Linked DNA regions of Kluyveromyces lactis. The protein of the gene in region 2 interacts with the protein of the main gene of each other region in a pairwise test. Links are inferred from orthologs where the notes say so. Each region holds a gene or a part of one and is shown on either strand. Other genes may lie near its edges.

What was found.
Region 1: the proteins of PIH1 (region 2) and PRM4 interact in binary tests that used the Saccharomyces cerevisiae proteins (3 or more experiments, as listed by UniProt). The link is inferred for Kluyveromyces lactis from reciprocal best matches to the Saccharomyces cerevisiae genes PIH1 and PRM4.
Region 3: the proteins of PIH1 (region 2) and RSA1 interact in a two-hybrid assay, tested with the Saccharomyces cerevisiae proteins (2 studies listed by BioGRID). The link is inferred for Kluyveromyces lactis from reciprocal best matches to the Saccharomyces cerevisiae genes PIH1 and RSA1.

The regions. Positions count from the first base shown.
Region 1 is NC_006040.1:508,771-516,642, reverse strand, and holds PRM4 (pheromone-regulated protein PRM4), read right to left. Parts: upstream 4,033-7,872; coding exon 3,187-4,032; downstream 1-3,186. Other genes in the region: AIM44 (Aim44p), read right to left, coding at 1-605; TGS1 (RNA methyltransferase), read left to right, coding at 1,998-2,909; KIP2 (Kip2p), read right to left, coding at 4,924-6,930; PEP4 (proteinase A), read right to left, coding at 7,859-7,872.
Region 2 is NC_006039.1:882,892-890,815, forward strand, and holds PIH1 (Pih1p), read right to left. Parts: upstream 3,142-7,924; coding exon 2,140-3,141; downstream 1-2,139. Other genes in the region: cleavage/polyadenylation factor CFT1, read right to left, coding at 1-414; PRO1 (glutamate 5-kinase), read left to right, coding at 753-2,009; ERC1 (Erc1p), read left to right, coding at 3,499-5,124; rRNA-processing protein BFR2, read right to left, coding at 5,232-6,812; ATP5 (F1F0 ATP synthase subunit 5), read left to right, coding at 7,713-7,924. UniProt on the Saccharomyces cerevisiae protein: Involved in pre-rRNA processing and required for the NOP58-snoRNA interaction.
Region 3 is NC_006041.1:1,719,468-1,727,285, forward strand, and holds RSA1 (Rsa1p), read right to left. Parts: upstream 3,309-7,818; coding exon 2,280-3,308; downstream 1-2,279. Other genes in the region: MIY3 (Miy3p), read left to right, coding at 1-28; KLLA0_E19295g (uncharacterized protein), read left to right, coding at 573-1,583; KLLA0_E19317g (uncharacterized protein), read left to right, coding at 1,863-2,261; pyruvate transporter MPC1, read left to right, coding at 4,059-4,433; DDC1 (Ddc1p), read right to left, coding at 4,632-6,293; APL5 (Apl5p), read right to left, coding at 6,483-7,818. UniProt on the Saccharomyces cerevisiae protein: Involved in a late nucleoplasmic step of 60S ribosomal subunit assembly.

The DNA.
Region 1 (7,872 bases), on a different chromosome or scaffold from region 2:
GTGGCGTTTCGCGTTTTCGTAGACGGCGTACTACGCTTCTTTAGCATTGCAGTGGAGTTACCAGATGACAGTGTGAACTGGAAAGAAATATTGTCGGCAGTCGGCAAAGTGAAATCAGAGGTAACCGTAGAATATGCTTCTGGTATGCATTGCATATCAAAGTTACCATCCAATGGCCTGCCAAATTCAGGTGAGTTTGTGGGACATATTCTAGGTGTTCTGTCCGGTGCCAGTGTTCCAGGATAATGCACTGAAGAACCGGAAGATGATATATATGAGTACCTGTTGTTTCCAATTGCACAAGCTGTGTTCTTGACAGCAGACAACTTGTCAGGATTAGTCGTATTATCAGATATGTTAGCAAATGAGTAGTATCCATTAGATGAGTTACCGGAGTTGGAATTTGTCGTGGTATAGTCAGATAAATGCTGGGAGTGAATATCGTCTTCTGGCTTCTTATTCAATTGCTCGTTTAGTAGATGATGGTTGTTTAAACCATGTTCTGGCAATTTAAGATGAGCCAAAACTTCAACATCTGGGAACCTAAATTCTGATTGAGATCCATTATAGGACTTGGTTTTGGTTCTTGTGGGAGTTCTGATCATTTATTCGGTAATTCAGTATTTACCAGCTAGAGTATTCGATGATAACAGTATTGCACGTAATTTTGAGTAACGCTTTTAAGATATTTTACGAAGCTTGCACCAGGAAAGGTTACGCAAGTGGCTCATGATGACAAAAAAGACTCATACAATCGTGGAATCGCTTTCCCCATTCAGCTTATTCAAGTTCTTCATTCATTCCTTCAAATATATATATATATATATATATATAGATACTGAAAGGATGATACCAGACAACAATTTAAGGAACAAGCTGACCTGATTCAGTATCAATGATTAGTTGCAGGGCCAGCCATATTTACTAGAGGCCGCATACGACACTCTACTGGAATAGCAAATATTGCTGACCTTGTATCAGCTTGCCCTTATCTGCAAAGACATGCTAAATTTCATGCTGGGTTCGTAATGAAAAGGGAAATTAGATGCTGGGCAGAAATCTCATCCGTACACCACGATGGAATACACACGTGACCTGTTTCACAACATCTTACTCATAAGGATATCTTGAAAGGAAATTATTCATTCAGCCCAAGTGACAGCCTGCCCATCTATAATTCTCTTAACATCAGAGTGCCTAGATTATCATCATGAACTGAGTTTATATATATACTTTTAGAATACCAGATATTTGTTGCATTTTGTACCAATATATATTTGGTGTCACATAATGTATCGTCATCTCAAAACTAAGTTAAGACTGTTTCAGAATAATAGCAGAACAATGATAACCTGCTTTCTTTTATCAGTATTTTGTCTTGATGTATTTCACTACCATTTTATGTAATTACTTTAGTGCCAAATCCATTATATTTTCTGGTTAATGACGAAGGAACTCGAAAACTTGAAATTCGCTATGATATTAAATCAAGCTGACAACCGAAGAACTAACTGACTTTACCATATTCTGGTAAACAGTTACATTCAACGGTTTATCTACAGGTATAACTTCAGAACAGAGTCTACTGTACTCTTTTTGGAACGGTGGGAGATGAAGTACCCCTATATCCTTTTTTGTTGAAGAGTATTCGTTCTATGTCAAAGTTTTCAGCAAAGCGGGGCTACAAGAGAGAGGTATTCTCTACTTTACACCTAAAGTAAATGCAGACATGCCGCATTGTTAACAACTAGAAAGGCAAGGGTTTGTAGATGCAGGTCAGATGTTGGTAAAATCACACATCTTGGAGATGGCACTTGCTAATAGTTCCTTTCTATATTGGATTTCTTTTCTGCAACCATCATTTTATAAATTTAACAAAATTAATGCAGAGAGATGCGATGAGATGGGATAGTAAAAACAACACATAATATAGTTATAGTTTAAAATAATGGAGCAGAACTGTTGTCCAAGTCATTAAGATATTTATTTAAAGCCAGATGTCGTGGCTCTTAAAGACGCCAAAAGATCTTGGATGTTTTGAAGGAATAGATGGAATAAACAATATAAAAGTAAGGCATCGATTAAAGAAACATTTCTTCGATGATAGTTACAGAATAAACCCTTACCAAAGGCCGAATGATAAGAAATTATTCAAGTTCTGGAAAAATAGGGCAACCATTTTCAAGCTCATAAATAATGGTAACATATATTTAACAGACGAATTGTGGTTTAGTGTCACACCCGAAAATCTTGCACAGTTTACTGCAAATTATGTTAGGCATTGTCTACCCAATGGAAATTGTATTGTTGATGTGTTTTGTGGAGGCGGTGGTAATACCATTCAGTTTGCAAGATTATTTGAGAAAGTTTACGGGATAGATTCAAATATCGACCATTTGTATTGTGCCTATAAGAATGCTGAGTGTTACAATTCTGCTGTCAAGCTTAAACTGATATATGGTGACTGGGAAGAATCATTGAAAAAGACTTTAGTCAAGAACTTGGGAAAAACACCCGATTGCATATTTGCTTCACCTCCGTGGGGTGGTGTTGACTATTTGAGACAGGACACTTATGACCTCGAAGAACATTTACAGCCGTCGCCATTATCAAAGATACTTAGCGTTTTCTTCTCTGTATGTCAGAATGTAGTTTTGTTTCTACCGAGAAACTCAGATCTTGATCAGTTGTCCTCAATTACTCATGACTTATTAGGCCCTGATGAAAAATGTAAAGTTGTTTATGTTAAGGATAACGGTTACATGAAAGGAATACTTGCATTTTGGGGGAGACCATTCTATGATTTTTCTGAGTACTATCCAACAGAAATAGAGGAAGAGGAATCGCATGAATTAAATAATAAAAGATCATCGAAAGATCTTGAAATTAAAATGGAGGATTTGTATTGAAACATTTGTATTTCACACTTGTGTTTCACACTTGAGTGCTTAATGGACTTTTTGTAGATTGAAATATTAGTATACTGATCACCTCAAGTATTATTATAGAAATTATAATACATATAAAATGGAAACAAAAGTAATGGAAAATGGCTTCCTTTCCGCAGGAGCCCAAAAATAGTAGTAAAATGCGAGAAGCGAGAAATATAGGTCGTCATAAAACACTCATTAAAATGATTCTTTACTTTGTTCATACAAGCAAATAACCACCAAAAATGCAAGGAACTCAAGAGTTGGATGGGATATCCACCTTTGAAATAGATACCTTACTATCAGCAACGTGTCTAAGCTTTGATAGAAGGGACCCGTCTGCATGCTTGTTCAATATATCGTCTTTCAAAGATTTGTTGATTAAGGAAACGCCATTAATGAATAAATATGGGACATCAGGAGATTTCGAAGATTCTCCATAGTTTGATTTATAAGTTGCTAGCCTATTCAACTGGATATATTCTTGCATAGAGTCACCAAATTGATGTTTGTCCAAGTCAACAACAATAATCTCTGGAGAAAAAGTGTACTCTAACGTCAAAACATTCTTCAAATCCACAGAGTTTTTCTCAGAAGATTTTATGAAAAGAATCACTGGCGAAGTATTCAAGATCTGCTGAAATCCTAAGCTTGGACTGAACCGCTCATTACTAACAGTGATTCCACCAGTTCCACTGGATCCGCCGTGTTCAACTATTACCGGTGCTACTTCGGATTCCAGAGGAGCCGTCATCTTAGGTGACAGGACCTTGTGTTTACGTAGTTCCATCCGCTTAGTACCTTCAGCTTCGTTGATCACAAGTTTCTCCTCCACAATAGAATCTGCAGCAATATTCGTAGAAGCATAGTTGATTCCACTACTAATGCTACTAATGCTACCATCAATACTTGGTAGTGCACTTACATCAGAATCATCTTCGGCACCAATCTGCAAAGTTCCAAGCGAAAACTGCTTGTAATTCATAAACGACTCATCGCTACCGACACTGTACAGGATAAGCAAAACGACACTAAACAACACAAGCGAGGTTACCACTAATCTATTGCCCTTCTTACTTGTCTTACCGGATCTGAGACCCATATTTCACAATGATTTATTGTCAATTTTCGCGTTGCACTACGCATAAAAACATATACCTAACCACATGCAACAAGAGAAAGGTTGGGATACCTTTATAAATGTAACTATATAGACATACCTACATATATATATATGTGTGTGTTTATAAATGTGATTATGCTTTCCTTTGGTACTTTCTTCAGAAAAACTTGGTTACCCCAACTTTATTTCTCGAAGCCTTGTTTTGTAAAGCGAGAGAAGTTATGAAAAAAGTCACAGAAAGGTTCGCACAGAACTAACGTATCTAGTTTCATTCCTCGATTTATTGGTGGTTCCTTTTGGAAAATCAAAGGAAAATCGAAATAATACACCAAATTGCTGATAAAAAACACTAAAACATGCGCAGGACACAGCCCGAATAATATCCCCGACTGTTATTGGGGATCAGGCAAGAGTCGGAAATCCCAATTGAGGTACAGGGAGTAAGGAATAAGACATGTTCCACGAGAAAATCACGTAAATCAAAAAGCGTAAAAATGAAAAAATTAGGGAAGTTTCGCAGTCCGGACTGGGAGACCTCGAGGGAAGATAAAATGGGAGAAAGGAAGATTACAAAAACAGAAGCAGGTGTGTTTCTGTGTCTATGTGTTACTTATTAACCGTTGCTTACTGATTCTGTAGGTTCGTATTTTTTGTCTTTAGAAGATGTTGTTACTCATAAGTTCTTTCCTATCTAGTTTTGTTGCCGGGTGAAATTGGATATAAAATTTCTTTTTGATTTTCCTCAGTGCTAGTTTTTCTAAGAGCGTGTTTTTGAGACCCTCGAAGCGTTGCAAGGTGCATACATTCGAGCTTCAGCAGAATGCTCGACCTTCTTTGATGTGAAATCGGGTGTTTCTGCTGTTAGACACCCTATAGAACTGATTTCGGAAATACATCTGATGCAATGGAGTACTTCGGTACGGGTTTTAGGTAATCACTGCCAGTACCGCTGCTGTCGCTGGTAGTTGTGATACTTGTACCGCTTCCAATCGTAATTGGTCTTTCTTGTCTGTTCAAATCGCTGGCATTCGGCGATATCGGTTTGAGAACGTTAGCAGCAGTTGCGGTTCCAATCTCAATGTCGGAGTCAGTAGCAGACACAGCTTCTCCCGTGTACTCTGCAAGTTGTTGTCTTAGTCTCTTCGCGCTCTTCAACGCTTCTATCATTTTATCCTTCCTTTCAAGAGATTGATGCAACTGCATCAATTCTTGCTCTTGTTCATGTAACACTTGTGTCAAATCGATATCTGATACATTGGACAGCAACTCTGCAGTGGCTGCAGTGGCAGAAGCATCTCGAGTCCTTGCACTCTCTAGCTGTGATATATACCTCTTCGACTCTTGTAATTGAGAGTCCATGTTGACCAATTTTGTCTCTAACATCACACCAATATCCTGTGGGAGCATGTCAATGATTTCCACTAATTCGGTATCTTTCAAGATACTAGGTTCTAACGTTTCCAGTCTTTCATAATGTTCTACCTTCATCTTTAGAAGCTCGTTCTCCCTTAGTAGTGATGTATCTGAACTTATTCCGGATCCAATGAAACCTTTCCCCCTGGTCAAATTGTCGATGGTTATTTGCTGTTCTCGTACTTGTTTCCGCAATGTTTGGATTAATTGGCTCTTGCTTACGTTGCTGTCGGCTTCGTTACGCTTTACAGCCAAACTGATGTTTTTTGCCCTGCTGGCGAACCGTATCGTATTGATAGATTCCGTACTTGTCTCGGGCCTTGTATCCACAGTACATATGGTAGCGACTAACGAGTCCCCGCTTAGTGCAGGTTGTAATATTCTTGTTAACTTGGAATCTCTGTATGGAATATGGCCTACATTTGTAGAAAGGCCCGAACTTTCCATACTCAATTTAGATATCACTGTTCCAAGAGCTAATAACGATTTGTTGATGTAAGCTCCCTCTTTCCTTCTTTCTTGTTGCCCCGTAGCTCTTTCGGACCCAGCTAAATCACACAGAGATAATGTACTCATCACTTGCTCGCCAGTTATTTCATCGGTGCAGAATACACGGATAAGGACCACAGCGTGAGATCTAGAGGATCTTGTATTAAAATCAGTCTCTCCAGTCTTACGGTTATGATCTCCAATCGATATGCACTTCATTAACTCTTTATTACTGCTAACATTTCTCTCAACTAAACCAACAACTTTAACCCCGTATTTCAAGTCATCTCGAAGCTTAAGATCATTAGTCAATGTCGAACTGGGCACCATAATATTGCTATTTAAAGTTTTGCCCTGTGGTAAATTCAATAGATCAAATATTCTCTCGTTGTAAATTTCCAAATAGGATACTCTGACAGTAAACTTTTTGCGAGGTAATCCCACATTGATACGATCGAAAATAGTGTCAACGCACATGGGTATTATACCAGGACCTGATTTGGATCCACTCATGGTATATGTCTTACCTGAACCAGTCATACCATAAGCGAAAATTGTACAATTAAATCCCTCGAATAATTTATCTATCATAGGCAATGCCATAGTCTCATATACTCGATCGTTATTCATCTCCGGACTGAAAACATGGTCGAAGTTAAATTCCCCAAACTCTTCATGAATAATGGAGTTGTTATTTACGTGCCAAGAATCTTGTTTTCCATGAGTAGGCTTGATTCTTACCCCTACCGAAATGGTACCCTGGTATGAACTTCTCCCGCCACGAATTGGAGAAGCGGCCTTCGTAGAAGAACTTCTTGCTGGTGAAGAACATTGACTCGAAGATGACGAGGAAGTTGATCTTGGCCTTACTGTTGATGAAGTTCTTAGATTTGGTGTGCTGGGAGGTCTCATCAATCTTTTGGGTGAATTGTACGATGATGTATGGAGTGGAAGTGCCACTGGTTTGGTAATCATGATCGATTGGCTATCTCAAGGGTGTGTTACTCTGCTATATTTTCGTTGCAATGCAAATCCTTGCGTAATCCAATATTGTGTCCTAATATGATTGTTTAATCACAAATAATAACAGTACGAAAATTTTGAGTATGAAGCTGATCCAGTGAAGATAATGTGAAGCAAGGCCATATATATTATGCAGGGACAGATGTATGGGCAAATAGATAAATGTCAGACTACTGTTAATGATTAGTGTTTGACCTTGTGTCTCATCTTACTATCATTTTTTTTAGATATCGAAATATGTCTATTATGTTGACAAATTACCTATTTGAGTTATAATTGAGAACTATCTTCATCAAGGAGAGTTGGCAATTCACACACATCTCGACACCAACGTTAACAAAATCAAGAACGGATCAAGAGGCGCCTGACAGATCAGAGAAGTTGAGAGTGGCATGTGCTCCAAATAAAATGAAAAAATATATATGAATTTTTTGGTAGGCCTATTCTACTATAGAAATATTCACTACTTTTAACAGACCTTGTGAAAGTAACATAAAAAAAAATGTAACTAAAATCGATACTTGAATTTTGGGAGAGAAATGAAAAAGAGATTCTGATAAAGGCAATTTATCGACATTTTATGAATCATTTATAGGTAGCCAAAGCCAAAGCCAATTGAATAATGTCCATCGTCTATATATTTAGAGGAAGGAACACAATTGTTTTATGATGAAATAGGAAAGAATTCTTTTAGGTATTTTAAGGTTTATTTGTCACCAAGTGTTGTTATACTTTGTTAGCTAATTCGATTTGTGAAACTGACATTCAATTAATATAGCAGTAAGTTAACCGTCTTATTTAATTATTTTTTTAGAGTTGTCGAGTTAATAGAAGCTGAACTCCAATTCAAAAGGTTACAATTCGATCGCTTTTTTAACAATTAGGCAGCCTTGG
Region 2 (7,924 bases):
ATCTTCATTAAAAACCAGAAGACATCTAAACAATGGATCCACTGCCATAATGGACTCCGTCTTCAAAGAAGAAGTGCTTAAATTGACAAATTTGTCGTGATAATAATGCAGACTTAGTGTTTCAAGACTCTCTGCCACTGGGTCAAACCTTACCAACGATACTTTGGATTTCGACGAAAGTATTGCAAGCATCTTAAGAGGCGATCCAATTTGGGGCAGTAATTGCATATCTATGATTTTACCTGCTAGTTTCCATTCATATGCAAGTACAAGCTTTTGTGCTCGCGAGACCCTGAATACAGAGAGAACATTGGTTCTTGCAACAACGTATTCTTCCCTTTCCGCTGACGTAAAATTCCCATGTAAGCATTTATTAACCACAGTGGGTTGCAATATCTCGTCAAAAACGTTCATTTATTATCTATCCCCGATATTTAAACGTTTCAGATTCAGGTGTGACTGAAGAGTGCTAGTATGCCCACCTACGCTCGTCTGTTTCCAGTGTTCTTAGTAATGATAGTTACCTATATTTTGAAGAACCGGTGAATATTTAAAAATTCACAGAAACTGAAAGTAAATGTTTCGATGACATCTGCAGACCATTTGAAAAGATGAATAACTGCATCTGCAAAACAGATATAAACATAGTGTACTGTCTGTGAGCAGCAGCTATTAGTCAATCTGGCCTGAAATTTCTGTAACCAAAGGTTTCTACGGACCGCGAGAAGAAGAACGTTTTCCAACAAGTTCAGATGGTAAAGCAGTTCGTCATAGTCATAAAATTGGGATCTTCATCACTAGTTGATGAAGAGACCAAAGAACCAAAACTTTCTATCATGTCATTGATTGTGGAGACTGTGGTAAAGTTACGCAGAAGAGGACACAAAGTTATCATTGTATCTAGTGGAGGTATCGCCGTCGGATTGAAAACGATGAATATGAAGGGAAGGCCAAAGAAACTATCCAAGGTGCAAGCAATCGCAGCTGTGGGCCAAGGCAGATTAATTGGGAGGTGGGATTCCTTGTTCTCTGAATTTGATCAGAGAATTGCTCAAATCCTAATTACTCGAAATGACATTGTTGATTGGACTCAGTATAAGAATGCACAGAATACTATTAGTGAATTACTTTCCATGGGAGTAGTGCCAATCGTTAATGAGAATGACACTTTATCTGTGAGCGAAATCAAATTTGGTGATAATGATACATTATCAGCTATCACAGCAGCGTTGACTGGTGCTGATTATCTATTTTTATTGACAGATGTTGACTGTTTATACACTGATAATCCAAGAGCAAATCCCGATGCAAAACCTATCTTGGTTGTTCCAGATATATCACAAGGATTGCCAGGTGTGAACACAGACGGTGGATCTGGATCAGATGTTGGAACTGGTGGTATGAAGACTAAGCTTATTGCGGCAGAATTAGCAACCAATGCTGGTGTCCATACCATCATTATGAAGAGCGACACTCCAGAAAACATTTCCAAAATTGTTCTCTACATGCAGGAAAGGGACGATGGCGTGAATGAACTTACACAAGATTTGGCTGACCTACAACTCACTGAGATGCAAAGTTTAGTTAATAATCATGTTCCTCTTCATACTAGGTTTATTGCCAATAGTAATCATCATCACTTGAAGAACAGACAATTCTGGATGCTTCATGGACTCGTCAGTCAAGGCGCTGTAATTATAGACATTGGTGCATACGAAGCGTTAACGAGGAAAAACAAAGCTGGTTTGTTACCTGCAGGCGTTATTGAAGTCCAAGGGAGCTTCCATGAACATGAATGTATAGATATAAAATTGGGAGTCAGGGATTCAGATGGAAATTTGGATAAATCCGTTGCACTGAAAACAGTAGGTAGGGCTCGTTGCAACTATACAAGCACAGAGTTATCAAAAATTAAAGGTCTGCAAAGTGATCAGATTGAAGATATTCTAGGCTATGCTGATAGTGAATACGTAGCTCATAGGGAAAATTTAGCATTCCCTCCTCATTAACCTAAAGTGAATGAAAATATACTTTACATGTTACGTTTAACTCTCATACACGTAGCCCTTTAATAAAAGCATATATAGATAATCGAACATCTTGCATCAATTTATATATATATACGGCCATATTGAGATTTTATAAAAATATTATTAATCTGCGCTCAGGCTTCACAAAGAAACACTCTAATTTTGGAGGATTATTAAATATATCAGGTAATGGAACCTTGAGTTTCTTCTCGGGATAAATACCTAGATTAGTATTCTTTATGATGAGTTTATTACTTTTAGCATCATATTTGATATTGTAATCAAGACTAGAGTTAAGCTCCGAGGTCACTTCTATCTTTAAGAGAAACTCTGAGGTGTCTTTGGGTTTGCCCATACTAAGTTCATATGATATACTTTTTTTTTGTATTTCTTCAACCTTGGGTTTCTTGGTTTCATGCAGTGAAAGATCCTCGATTTCCTCTATTAAAGGTTTTCTACGGGAAGATTGGTCGATAGGAATTAATGGCGGCAGTTCACCCGTCGAAGGTTCGTCTTCTGCAAGAAAGTCTCGCCTCTTTTCGATAATACTAACAGGTTCTTTTTGTTCCCTATTTACCAAATCATTGATGGTTTCTTCATAATTCTCTGTTAGGTCTTCTCGCAGTATTTCTAGTTCAGGTATAGTATCACCTTTCTTCTTCAGCTTAGGGAAACTTATATTATCCCTTGATATTTCGAGCTCCGCTCGCAATTCACAGGATTCTAAGCACCATTCAACTACGATTTCTCTTAGTTGTAAATCATGCTGGATCCATGAAACGCATTTGGTGTTTATACAACAATCGCTCACGTAGCAGACGTTGCCCTTTTTGTCAACATCCTCCCTTATTGAGGAGGTTACGATTGGTATTTCCCATTGGTTGTTGATTATTAGGGGATATACTATGGCGGGGTTGAAATCGATTTCAGGTAAGGGTATCTGGTCATTATGGCAAATGTTGATGAATATCTTTGCATTGCTTGATAGCGATGTAGTACCAGGGTTTATTACCTTAGATTTTACGACAAAACATGGTTCTGGGCTTATTCTTATAACGTTGTTGGAGTTGTTCGAGCTGCTATCATTCAATGGTCGAAGAAGAAATGACATTGCACCTAATTGACGGTATGTACTTTCTTATTCTTTTGTTTTTTTTGTTCCTATCGCAGTTATCTGCTAAGCGATAATATAGAATTTCACAATCAAATTCTTATTAGCGATTATCAAAACTAGTGCTTTTTCAACGTAGATAAGGATCAATTATATGTACACCAAGACGAATAAAAGGTTCGTGTCATCGGAACGTGCTCGGTGGCCGTTCAATCCATACTGCCTGGCTCAATACAACATTTTGGGTATTAATACCTTTAATTCTGGAGATTAGTTTTTTTCATTCCACTGTTAATGGACATTCAAACTGGTTTTAAGATAAAGAAGGGCATTACAGGTTAGTTGAAACAACTAGACATGAATCAAGAGAGTGAGTATCTCTGTGACTCTATGGATAGACCGCGATACGATACAATCAATGACAATACTAGATATGAAAGTGATGGAGAATCTGCATCTTCTGGCGATGCCATAGACAATCGATATCGACTAATGAGTCCAGATGCAGATCGCGATGACTTTATTGACGAAGACTTCATAGAGGATCTTACTGCCCCAACAAGCTCTAGGAATGAAGTCTCCTATATCTTAAGCAACTCCGCTCTAATTACATTAACTTTTCTAATGGAATACTCTTTGGCTATTATTTCTTTATTTGTCATCGGTCATGTCTGTAAATCAAGTGATGCCTTAGCTTCCGCATCTTTGGCGGTAATGACTTACAATATTACTGGTTTAGCATTTGTGGAGGGTATGGCCACTTCTTTGGATACCTTTTGCTCACAAGCGTATGGTGCCAAGAAATATGCAAAAGTTGGTTTATATTCATTCCGTTGTGCAGCGATGATAATGACAGGTATTTTCCCTGTGATTATATCATGGTGGTTCAGTGCTTCATGGTTAGGTTATGTGATTGCTGAACAGGATATCCTCCCAGAGATACAACTTTTCTTGAGAATAATATCGTTTGGGTTGCCAGGGCTGATTTTTTTCGAAACTGGTAAGAGATTCCTTCAATCACAGGGCCATTTCCAAGCAGGAACATACTCCTTGTTGATTACAGTTCCAGTTAATATTATTCTAGTGTATTCATTTACTCGTTACATTGGATATGCTGGTGCTCCTCTAGGTATCGCCATATCGCACTGGTTTATGGCCTTAATGCTACTGGTTTATTGCAAATTTTGGAGAAAGGAAACTCTGATTTGTTGGTATCCCATGTTCTCTTCAATGTTCCACTTTAAAAGATTATTTTGCAGCTGGAAACCTATGTGGAATTTGGCATTTCCTGGTTTACTCATGATTGAAGCAGAGTACCTTTCTTTCGAAGTATTGACTATTATGTCTACATATCTCGGTGTCAAGGCTATAGCAGCACAATCAGTCGTATCGAACATAGGATCTTTGATATATCAAATCCCATTCGCAATGGGTTGCGTAGTTTCCACAAGGGTTGCTAATTATGTTGGGACAGAATCGGTCAACAACGCGAAGATCTGTATTAATACGTCGTACGTGATAGCAGCGTTTGTAGGGATTGCGAATTGTTGTTTGATTTTAACAGGTGACAAGAATTTAGCGTATTTGTTCACTAAAGACAAAGAGGTCGTTGAGTTATATCGTCATGTCGCTCCAATTTTGGCAGTTAACCAATTATATGATGCATTCACAACTTTTAGCGCTGCGATATTACGTGCACAAGGACGGCAGCAAGTTGGCAGCCTGTTAAATATCATAGCATACTATTTTATCGCATTGCCTTTAAGTGGATGGCTAACTTTTGGTAAATTTCAGTTGGGATTAAAAGGGCTTTGGTACGGATGCGGTACCGGGATCTTATTACTGGCGTTTGCTTTGAGCTATTGTGTTTTCAATTCCAATTGGGAAAACATAGTGGAAGAATGCCATAGAAGAGAAAAAGAAGAAAATGAGGTTGACTTAGAGAGTATGGCAAGTAACATGAGCAATATTATCGATGTTTGATTTGTCGATGTCAGTTTGTTGGACATTTTGAATGCCGTGTACATATTTTAATTATAATAATAAACAATAGATGAAAAATAAATACAAGTTGAAGGTCGAACTCCAAATTATCCGAAAATTTGAATATCGTCATTTTTGATCTCTTCGTCTTCCTCGTTGTGCATCGTGTCAGCTTCCAATTCATCGTCTTCATTGAAGTTGATCTTTTGACCTAATAAACCAGCAAAGAATTCATCAATTTGCTCATCCGACCATTTATACCCAGTATTAACTGATGCTTCATAATTGGCAATTGGTTCTTGAATAGAGTAATTTAGTTTACGACCCTTTGAAGCCTTGGTGTCGATGTTTTTCTTGAGCTTGTTTTCAGAGCGAGAAGTGATGGCCAAAGTAACACCATTGGATTGTTGAGAGTTAGATATTTTTTTCTCAACAAGATCATTCAACAAAACTCTGTAAAAATCTTCGTCATCATAGATATATGGGTTTTGGGTAAAATCTAATGCATTGTTATCCTTCCTTCTTGGATCGTAATTCTTTGGAATATCCAAATTATTTTCTTCTTCGATGTCTCCTTCTACGTTTTCCTCCAGTTGCAATTCTTTTAGTAGACCTTTTTGTAAATCTTCATCAAACAACAAAGGTTTAGTATTGCTTCTATTGAGTTTTGTCCTTTTAAGTAATCTTGGCATATCAGCAAGTTGGTTATCCACTTGTACATCAGCTGACTGGTTGATCGCTTTAAACTTGGAGGCTTGCAGAAGAGATTTTCCTGATGATGCAGAAACTTTTGCTGACCATTTGTTAAGTACGGCAGAACGGTATGATTTTAAATCAGAATCCAATGTTACAGTTTCATGTACTAGTTCCTTAAAACTTCTCTTTTTGCTGTTATCGAAGTCAGAAGGGTTCTCAGATTGGTTTATGTGATCACCGATTTGGAATTTATGCCTTACTGTAACACACTGGGTCAAAACTTTCTCTAAAACTTTGAAAGTACTAGTTAGCAATTTGGAGTTATTTTCATCTAGAAGTTCATCCCAAGATTGTTGAGAAAGTGGTAACTGGTTTGAAGCGGATAATGCTTTTTGCAACTTAATTCTAGAGTCTAGAATTTTATCGAAGAATTTATTCTGTTGTAAGATGGCATAACCTTTGGAAGCATCTCTCTGAGCGGAATGTGCTAAATTATTAATCACTTGTTTAGTTTGCGTCTGTACTATCTTGGCCAATTTCTCTTTCTTCATCGCAGTCTCCTCATCTTCCTCTCTATCTTTCTCTATTTCTGACTCGGAAGTGGCTTCAGATTCGGATACATCTTCTGAATCGCTTCTAAAGGATACTGCATCACTCTCTTCAGATCCGGATTCAGCTTCAGACTCACTTTCTCCTTGTTCAGGAGCGTCCATTTCTTCGTCATTGAACAGTTCTGCTCTAGACCCTTTGCTCCCGACGTATTTCTTATCCTTTACGGCCAATCCTTGATCGACCACATTTCTAAGTTTTGACTTTCCTACTGCCACATAATGCTGTTTCTTCAACTCTTCTTCGCTCTCATCGCCAGAACTAACATCTGAATCGGACCCACCATGTTGAAATACACCTTCATCATTCTCAATGTCGAAATCTTCAACTTGTGGTTTATTCGCAATGTCTGCGATTTGTTCGGCCAAAGACTTTTTACCCATTTAATCTGCGTGTATTTTACGTGTACTTCACCGTCCTCACTTACAACTCACTATTGAGTACAGCTGATTTATCCATATAAGAGTCTCTCATCTCATCTCATCTCGTCTCATCTCTCAAACATCAACTTTCTTGAATTTTTCAACTACAAAAAAGAAACTCCAGATTACCTTTTCGGATCTTCAAAAAGAAGAGGAAAATATATAGATCACGTGCTATTATTAAATCACGTGATTGTAAGATAGCGATTCTTAGTCTCAAACTCTCGATGCACCAAATATCCAATACAAATTACTTTTAAGAAGCCTCATAGCGTCTATTAAGGTCAAATATATCTATTAAAAGTGAAAGCATAGTGTTTAATTTCCACGTGACTCGCAACCAATGAAAACACGTCATCGTTTCCTACGACTACTGAGGAACTTAGATCGTGTTTTTTTTTTTTTTTTTTGGACCTCTTTGGCCGGAACAAGAACACAAGAGCAGAAACGAAACAGAGACAAAGAAGAACACATAGGAGGGAGGATCCGATCAAAAACAGAGAAAGTTTTGAAAAAATATAGGTAAAGGAAGGAAAAAAAATTGAAAATTTATTGAACTTTCAATATTTCCACACCTTTAAGAAATAAATTTGTAATTTACAGGAAAAGAAGCTTTCGTTCTACGTTAGCTTATTTGTATTTTTTAAGTGTATTTGCTATTTTGTTAGTGATTCTGCATTGATCAGATTAAGACAAGTCTCTCTTTTCCGATTAGGTGTGTGTTTTGTTATTGCCATTGTACCAAACCTTATCTTAAGCTTTAAACTTCATTTAATCTATTGAGCAAGTTTTCTTCCAATTGTTTGAATAACCATAAAATCATTGAATTATTGAATCAAAGAGACCACTATATACAGAGTCATGTTTTCCAGAGTATTTGTTCGTTCTATGGCAGCTTCTGCCAAGGCTGGTGTTAAGCCTCCAGTGCAATTGTTCGGTTTGGATGGTACCTATGCCACTGCATTGTTCACTGCTGCCTCAAAGACCACTTCCGTTGAAGCTGCTGCTTCCTCATTGAATGCTTTGAAGGAAACTGTTGCCAAGGACACCAAGTTGACCAGCATTTTGGAAAA
Region 3 (7,818 bases), on a different chromosome or scaffold from region 2:
GAAGAAGAAGAAGTGCGTCATATTATAAAGAACTCAGTGATCTTCATTATCTCTGATCTTTCTAACCAATTCAAACTCTGTTAATACAAGAAGACAGGAAGAGCAATTCAGCGGTTTCTTACTTACGCACTTACGCCATTTGTATAACTGATGAGTCTACACTTATGCTAATTTGTCTGTACTGACTTTAACCTTATATATCTAAATATATAGCTTTACGATAGAGAGACCCCTGTTTATGAATGATGAATCCTGTACGAAATAGACTGGATCTTGAATTCTGCTAGTCCATATTTTATTATGTATCAATGTTATATAAACTGTGCCAGTGCATATTTTTTCACAATACAATTTCGTTGTTCGATTTATCGTATCTGAATACCAAAGTGACAGTAAAAAATAAAGGATTCTTCTTCATCTTAAAACAAGGAGACGTTTTAAAGACACTAAGGGAGATATAGTCGGACAGTTTTCGAAAAAGGTCGGTAGCATAGGCATATTGTTAGATAGGACAGTGTACTAGCACATTTACGCCTTGTTAAAATAGTTACAAATTAGCTCTACATTCTCAGATGTATCAGTTTATTAAGACTCCGCACACAACAAGAACTATTGAATTTAATGGTTCTCATGGAATTGAGGTTATTATTGGGAAAGAAGTTAAGGAAGATGAAAGCAAGCATTCCAGCGAGTCCAATTTAATCTTTGATGATGATGACCTATTTGTTGAGCACGCTAAGCTTGTTGTTAAGAAACTCCCTCCGACGAATGATGAAGAGTCGCTTCCAATGAATATAGACTCATTCAGGATTTATTTAGAATCCTTAGGGGACGCGGATCGTATTGTGGATTTGGAATCAGCAGATTCCAATACAGATGGAAAGATAATTGATTTGAAAAACGGTGATAGGTTTGGGTTAGTTAGATTAGATGAGCCGGTCTCAGTGAATCAACAACGGGGAGCCAAACTCAAATTCAACTTAAATATAAGACCAGGAGCTTGGCCTTTCAACTACAGAATTGTGCTTACTGATGTGACAGATCAAAAATCGCCATGTACATCAAGGTCAAGTGACTTTCTGGACTCCATCATGCAGCATGTTTCAGACGAATCTGATTCTGAGAACGCATGGTCCAAGGCAACCGATTGGAACGAGGAAATTAAAGTTGAAATTGGCAAGGAGGATGAAGTTGTTGCTGTGGTAGATGATACTGCGCCAACGGTAGCACTCAAGCCAACCTCTGACCCCAGTACACTGAGCTCGTCCAAGGAGTCGTCTGTTTCTGGTAACTCTCACTCTCGTGCATGCATTTACATCAACAGTGACAGCGACAGCGACAGTGGCTATGATGACCATACTTTTATGGATCCAGAGAAGAAGCACCATCACTTCAAATGCCGCTATAAGAGAGGAAGAGGGAACAGATCAAGGTGGTCGACGTTTAGGGTGAATAAGGCTAAGGGGAAGAAATTTGGTAGAAAGAGAAGATTTGACTTATATAGTGGTTCATTAGGATTTATGTTGGGTTCCATTGGTACTTTGGGAGTTTTAGCTACTGTTGCAAATTTTGTCGAAGGATAAGTTTGGATTGTTCACCCAGCTGATAAATATCATTGAATGTTCCAACCCACACTCTCATAACAGTTTTTTAGAATGCTTTATTGAAGATATCAAAAGTATATATTTTGTTATTATCTATATTATATGTGATACCTCATGTCTGAAACCCAAATGAAACATATAAATGCTTGAAAACTTGAAGAGAAAAGGTCTTTATAAAGTGAAAATAGGGAAAGGAACTAGAATAGGCATCAATTCGGATTAAAAACTACACTCCCGGAGTGGTCAGTAATCCAACTCATGCAACTGAGAATGGTTGCTTCAAATAATGGAATGTTATCAAATCAAGATGAATCAACTTTTATTGATGAGCCCGCCATGAGCACTGATGGTACACAGAGAATACTACAAGTCAGTTCCCCCAAGATCGATACAGATAATCACAATATAGAGTACGAGAGTATTAAAAGCAAGGATAAGAAGAAACATAAGAAGAGGAAGAGCAAGAGGCATTCTAAAGGAAGACACAAAATGAAATATCGAGTTGACAAACCTCGGTACCACGATGATGCAAAATATGACGCTGATATTGCTGACAATAATAACGGAAAGGCATTGAATAAATTCTTCCCTGGTATCTTAATAGGAACTTTCATTGGTTCAGCTGTCACTAACTTTATATTGGAAGGGTTAAAGTAGTAAGCAAGATTTCCTTTTTCAAACCTCATCAATCGGTCTTTTCCTTGAATGGTTTCGGTATTGAGTATCACGTTGATTGAGTTGCCTATCATACCTCCTATTGGAGCGTCTATTCTGGTCATTCTTGTGATCTTTGCCTCCAAAGAGCACCTCTTTTTCTTCTTCTGTAAGTTCATATTTGAGATAATTGGCATCACCAAGTTCTTTGATGAAATCCAAGATCTTACCGTTTTCCTCTTTTAAGATTCTCTGATGAAGACCTATCGTCAAGTTTGGTTTATAATTAAACCTTTTAACTTGGTTTTGTATATTTTGAATAAAATAGCGCTCCTTTCTAGACTCCTGGAGAGGATTACGATTCAAGTCTTCGTCCTTGACGTTAAACTTTTCTCTGTACATTTCTTTCTTATTTGAAATCTTTATTAACCACATCTTCCTTCTCTCTTCTTTCCATTTTGCGATATCCTCCTCCGTTTTAAGCACTATTGAAGTTCCAGGTATATACAGATCTGATCCTTTGACGGTTTCTATGATATCTTCATCAGCAGAAGCTTCTTCTTCTTCTTCATCTTCTTCTTCTTTCCTTTTATCATCTTCATCACTTGCTATTTTATTCTCAACTAAAGCAGAATTCCTCAAATTGGTATTGGCGAACTTTTTGATAGGACCCTTCTTGGGTACTTCGATTTTGTCGTTTGCCTCTAAATTTGACTGTTGGTGCTCTATCACCTCTTCCTCTTCTTCTTCTTCCTCATCATCATAATTGATCTTGCTTGATTTTGTAACATCCACGTATGGCGGTTGCGCTTGATTAAAACCATACCAGCTCTGTTGATACTGGTGCGGATTCGGATAGAAAGGATGGTGGGTCCCATATCTCATTCCCATTGGTGCATGCTGCATAGCGGGGACACCGTATTGGTTGGGTTGATTCATCTGAGGTATCGGATAATACTGCATTCGCGTGGTTTGTAACGTATGTTGCAAAAGATTATTATTCACAGATCCGCCCTGTGAAGAGTTATTGTACACGTTTTGACCATTCATGTTGCTCGAATACTCTTCCCTGGGGCCTTTCTTCCCATCATATTCATTAATTGAACAGATAGAGATGAGATGAGATGAGATGAGATGAGATGAATAGATAATGAAAAGAAATTTCCTACGTTCACATACATAATGTTCTGGAGAAAGGTGTTGAAGTTTTAAACCGGTAACTGATGCTTCGTAAACCGTGAAACATATTCTGAAATATGTAACAGTCAAACAGGCTCATAAGGGTCCCCGCAAGTCATTCCACTGGTGCTATAGCTTTTACGCAGTGTCATCTATATCACGTGACCTTACTGATATACGTCTTCTTATTACCAATCATAAGAGAGACGGATTTTGACCAAGTTAACCACTGAGAGTAATCAGAAATCTATCCCCCAATATGTCGGCTTATAAGTTGGTGGTTATGCGGCCCCTCCATGTATGTAGTTTTATACCTCTTACTTCCATCAGCTGTGCAGTGGGTAGTCTCTCACCAACGGGTTTACCAGTGAAAATCGTATTGCAGCGGTGAATTTTTCAAGCTTCGAAACCTTGAAGACTTTTAAAGCTCAACAAAAATGTTTAAATGTTTTCAGAAAAGATTTAAAGGTACATTGAAGAACTTCTTGGTACTCGATCTGAGTTATTAGTTGGCCTCTCGTTTTCCCATTCATTCATTGTTATCCTTCTTTTTTTAGTTTGGTTTACGTTAATATTAACTCAGTAAATTATACTTCGGCAACAGTTTATAATCCCTGAATCATGTCCCAACCAGTACAGAGAGCTGCTAGTCAATCTTTGATTTCCAAATACATTAACAAGGAAACTTTAAAGTATGTCTTCACCACACATTTCTGGGGTCCAGTTTCAAACTTCGGTATCCCAATTGCTGCCATCTACGATTTGAAGAAGGATCCGGAGATGATTTCTGGACCTATGACGCTGGCTCTAGTGATGTACTCTGGTGTGTTTATGAGATATTCCCTAGCTGTTACCCCAAGGAACTTCTTGTTATTCGGTTGTCACGTTGTGAATGAAACAGCCCAACTTGTGCAAGGTTACAGATATTTAAACCATCATTATCTAGGTGGCAAGAAAGCTGACGCTACTGACGCCAATGTCGCCAAGACAGCCTAGATGCAAGAGAAAATGTAACCTGCCGACAAAACAACATTCTTTCTCCCATGGCTTAGATTACACTACTGTGTAGGTCTGTTATCTAAGATTTAATGCTAAGTTTATTTACGTACTGTATATTATATGTCTATATGTTCAATTACAGTTTATGAATTCATTTCGAAATGAAAAATAAAGTACTTCTTTCGTTCTTTATTATCAAGAGTCGAACAAACCTTTAGGTCTGTCAGCTTGTGTGGGACCCATGCCATCATCTTCTTCCTGTAGATTGAGATCTTCTTGGATTGCTTGTCTTTTCAAATTATTTAGATAAGCAGCCTTGTTCATTTCTCTTTGATGAGATTCATCTGTACCGACATTGTTCGATTCAATTGTTCCTCCCCATTCGACAGTTGTTCTCATTCTCTTTACTGGCTCGCTAATTGACGGCTCGGTTGTTGTGTTCGATGGTGTTGACTGGGAGCCAGTGTTTGAATTGGGAGTAGTGTTACTATTTTGTTTCCCCCACCTTTTAAACCTGAATTGCCTTCCTTCTTCGTCTTCGTCATCATCATCTGCTCCATCCTCATCCGTTATAAATAGTGAGCGTTTTGTATGTGGATACAGCATCTGCTTACTTTCCGGCCTTTGAAGCTTATCTGGTTTCACTACGGTATCCTTCTTGATTGGTGAAACTATCTTTTCTGGTGACAGGTTAAATTGGGTGACAGAATCCTCTGGTTCTTCGACCCTACCCTCGGTATCAGTTACCTGCACTAATTCCAATACAACCCCATCTTTTGTTATTTCAAAGAGAATGGGGTCACCAGGTTGGCAAAACCAGATTCTTATCATGTCATTTGTTTTCCAACAATTAAGTCCATTTAAGAATACTTTGAAATCTCGTAATTTGAACGTAATGCTCTTCTTAATACTTTGTGATCTGCTTGAAGGTCTCGAACCGTCGTTTTTTTCTGTTGAAAATATGCAGTAATGTTCTAGATCATTTGCGCTACATGTATTCGTTACTGTAACTGCTTGTTTGAGGTACCCTTGACTTTTCATGTTGTACACGGCTTTTGTAAATCCTATTATGGCTAGAGTATGTCTCGTCAATTCCAATTTTATTTCCTCGATCACATTAGACATAATAGAGTCAATGAAGTTTCTTAGTATTGATTGATCAAAACTTAAGAAGTTGATTTCGTCGTTAACCGTCAACGGTGTATTTTTCACTGTGCTCACAATATTGTGTTCATTGGCGATACCTCTATTAAACATATCATGTTCTAATTCTGTTTGTAAAGATTTGAAATAATCCACTAACCGAGGATCTAATGATCTGCCCTTACTTTTGTTGTTGTATACTGAAAGGAATTTTTGTTTATATTTCAGACTTAATATGATCTGAACACTTTCCAATGGATCAAAATTAACTTGATATTCTTTAGTTAGCAAAGATGCTGTCTTCATTTTGATTATGAGTTTGTTAGCTATAGTTTCAGAACAATTATCACAATTGTCGATAGTTAACATGTATTCTTTAATTGTATCCTCTTGTTTAAGTGATAATAGGGAAAGATACTTTGCATTCGCTTTGAAACTATAAATTGTGTGAAGAATGTCATTACAATCGGTGATCTGCTGCACTCCAGATTCACCAAATACAATCTTCTTCGGCTCGAAGTGATACTCTGTAAAGAACGACTTAGGAAATCGTACCTTGGCCATGGTCGTGTCTGTTGCATTCATGGATGATATCAATACACCATTTTCGGTGATTGTTATGAAGACATCAGGGTTTATTTGAGAAAGAGTTGCCAAGCATTTACCCCATATGGTCTGTTCATTCGTGCTGTTTATGGAAGCACGAAATGACATTGCAATGGCCTGTTGTCACAACTTCCAGTCAGAATCCCTTTATCTGGCGGTGATAAAAAACTCTTCACTAGATCTAAAGTTCGTGTTTTTTCTTGCAATTACGTGATTTATCTTTTTACAGATTAAATATTTGAACCTATGTCTATAAAGAAATAGTGCGAATGGATTAGTGATTATATTAATCTGTTATTATGATTCGTTTGGAGCTAGAGAAATTGCTGGAGTTGAAGCTTTTTCAGCGGGCTCTTTATATTTTTTCTTAGTCTTTTCCTTCTTACTGCCATCTTTGGTTTTCTTCTTCTTTTTCTTTTTAATAACTATGACTTCTTCTTTGTCATCTTGGATGGCTGTTAAATTGTCACTAATGTGTTGTTCTGCAAGTTTATTTTTTAGCTTTTCCAACTCCTCTTGATCAACAGTGTATTCACCGTCGTAATCAATGTTATCCTTTCGACTAAAATCAAAAGATTTGAATTTATTCGATGTGGAAAGAGTTATCGCATCTGAATGCCCAGAAGTATTTGATTTCTTCTTCCCCTCCTTTGTGATAGTGGATGGTGGAGCCACTACAATATCTGACAAAATTTGTACAGATGGTGACTTATTAGATTTCTTCTTTTTCGTCGAAATTTTGATGACGGGTTCGATTGTTTTTGTTTCACCCTCATCATCGTTATCACTCAATTCTATCAATTTCGTTTCTGCACGGTCAATTTTATCATCATTCAAATAAAACGGATTATCCAACCTCTCTTGTCTTCTGCGCTCTTCTAAAGCAGCAAGTTCTTCTTCTGTCATTGAAATGTCTTTCTCTGACGAGATATCCTGAGTTACAGATCCGTCAGAACTTCCAGCGCTTGCAGCAGATTTAACGCTCTCCTTGTCGGAATAATATGCAGCTTCATCTTCATATAGTTCTTCATTTTTCATTAATTCTTCGAGTTCAACAGAAGATAAAAATGGAGTGTCTAAATCGAGTGTTAACGCCTTAACCAACTGCTGTTGTTGTCCGTGTGACATTGGGCCAAGTTCATACTCATTGAAAAGACTAGGTAAAACGTCGGTAATTAATAGAGGTAACCCTTCCGTTTCATCTTGCAAAGCATCTTGACAGAGTTTTAACATTTCATAGAACTCTACGCTTCGTTCTTGTATATCAAAATTCGTTGATCTGTATTTTTGTTCCATGAATGCGATTAGTGTAGAAAGAAGATCTGATATTTCAGATTTGGTTCTACCCTCTGTGTTAGCATAGGTTGAGAATAATTTCACTAATGCAGGAATCATTGTCTGTATCACGGTGTCTGGAAGTTTATTGGCTTTGTTTAGGAGTATGCCAACGAGAGTGTCACAGTTATCAATTAACTCGGAATATTCCCCAAAGCACCATATTCCTTCCTTTAGTAGGTTAGGAAGCTTGGCGATAATATCATCGTTTGTAGTCAATTTGATTAATTGTTCTAAAGCCGCATCCCTCATGCTTGGAACTTTGACCATAATGTTTCTAAAGTTATCACCTAACAAA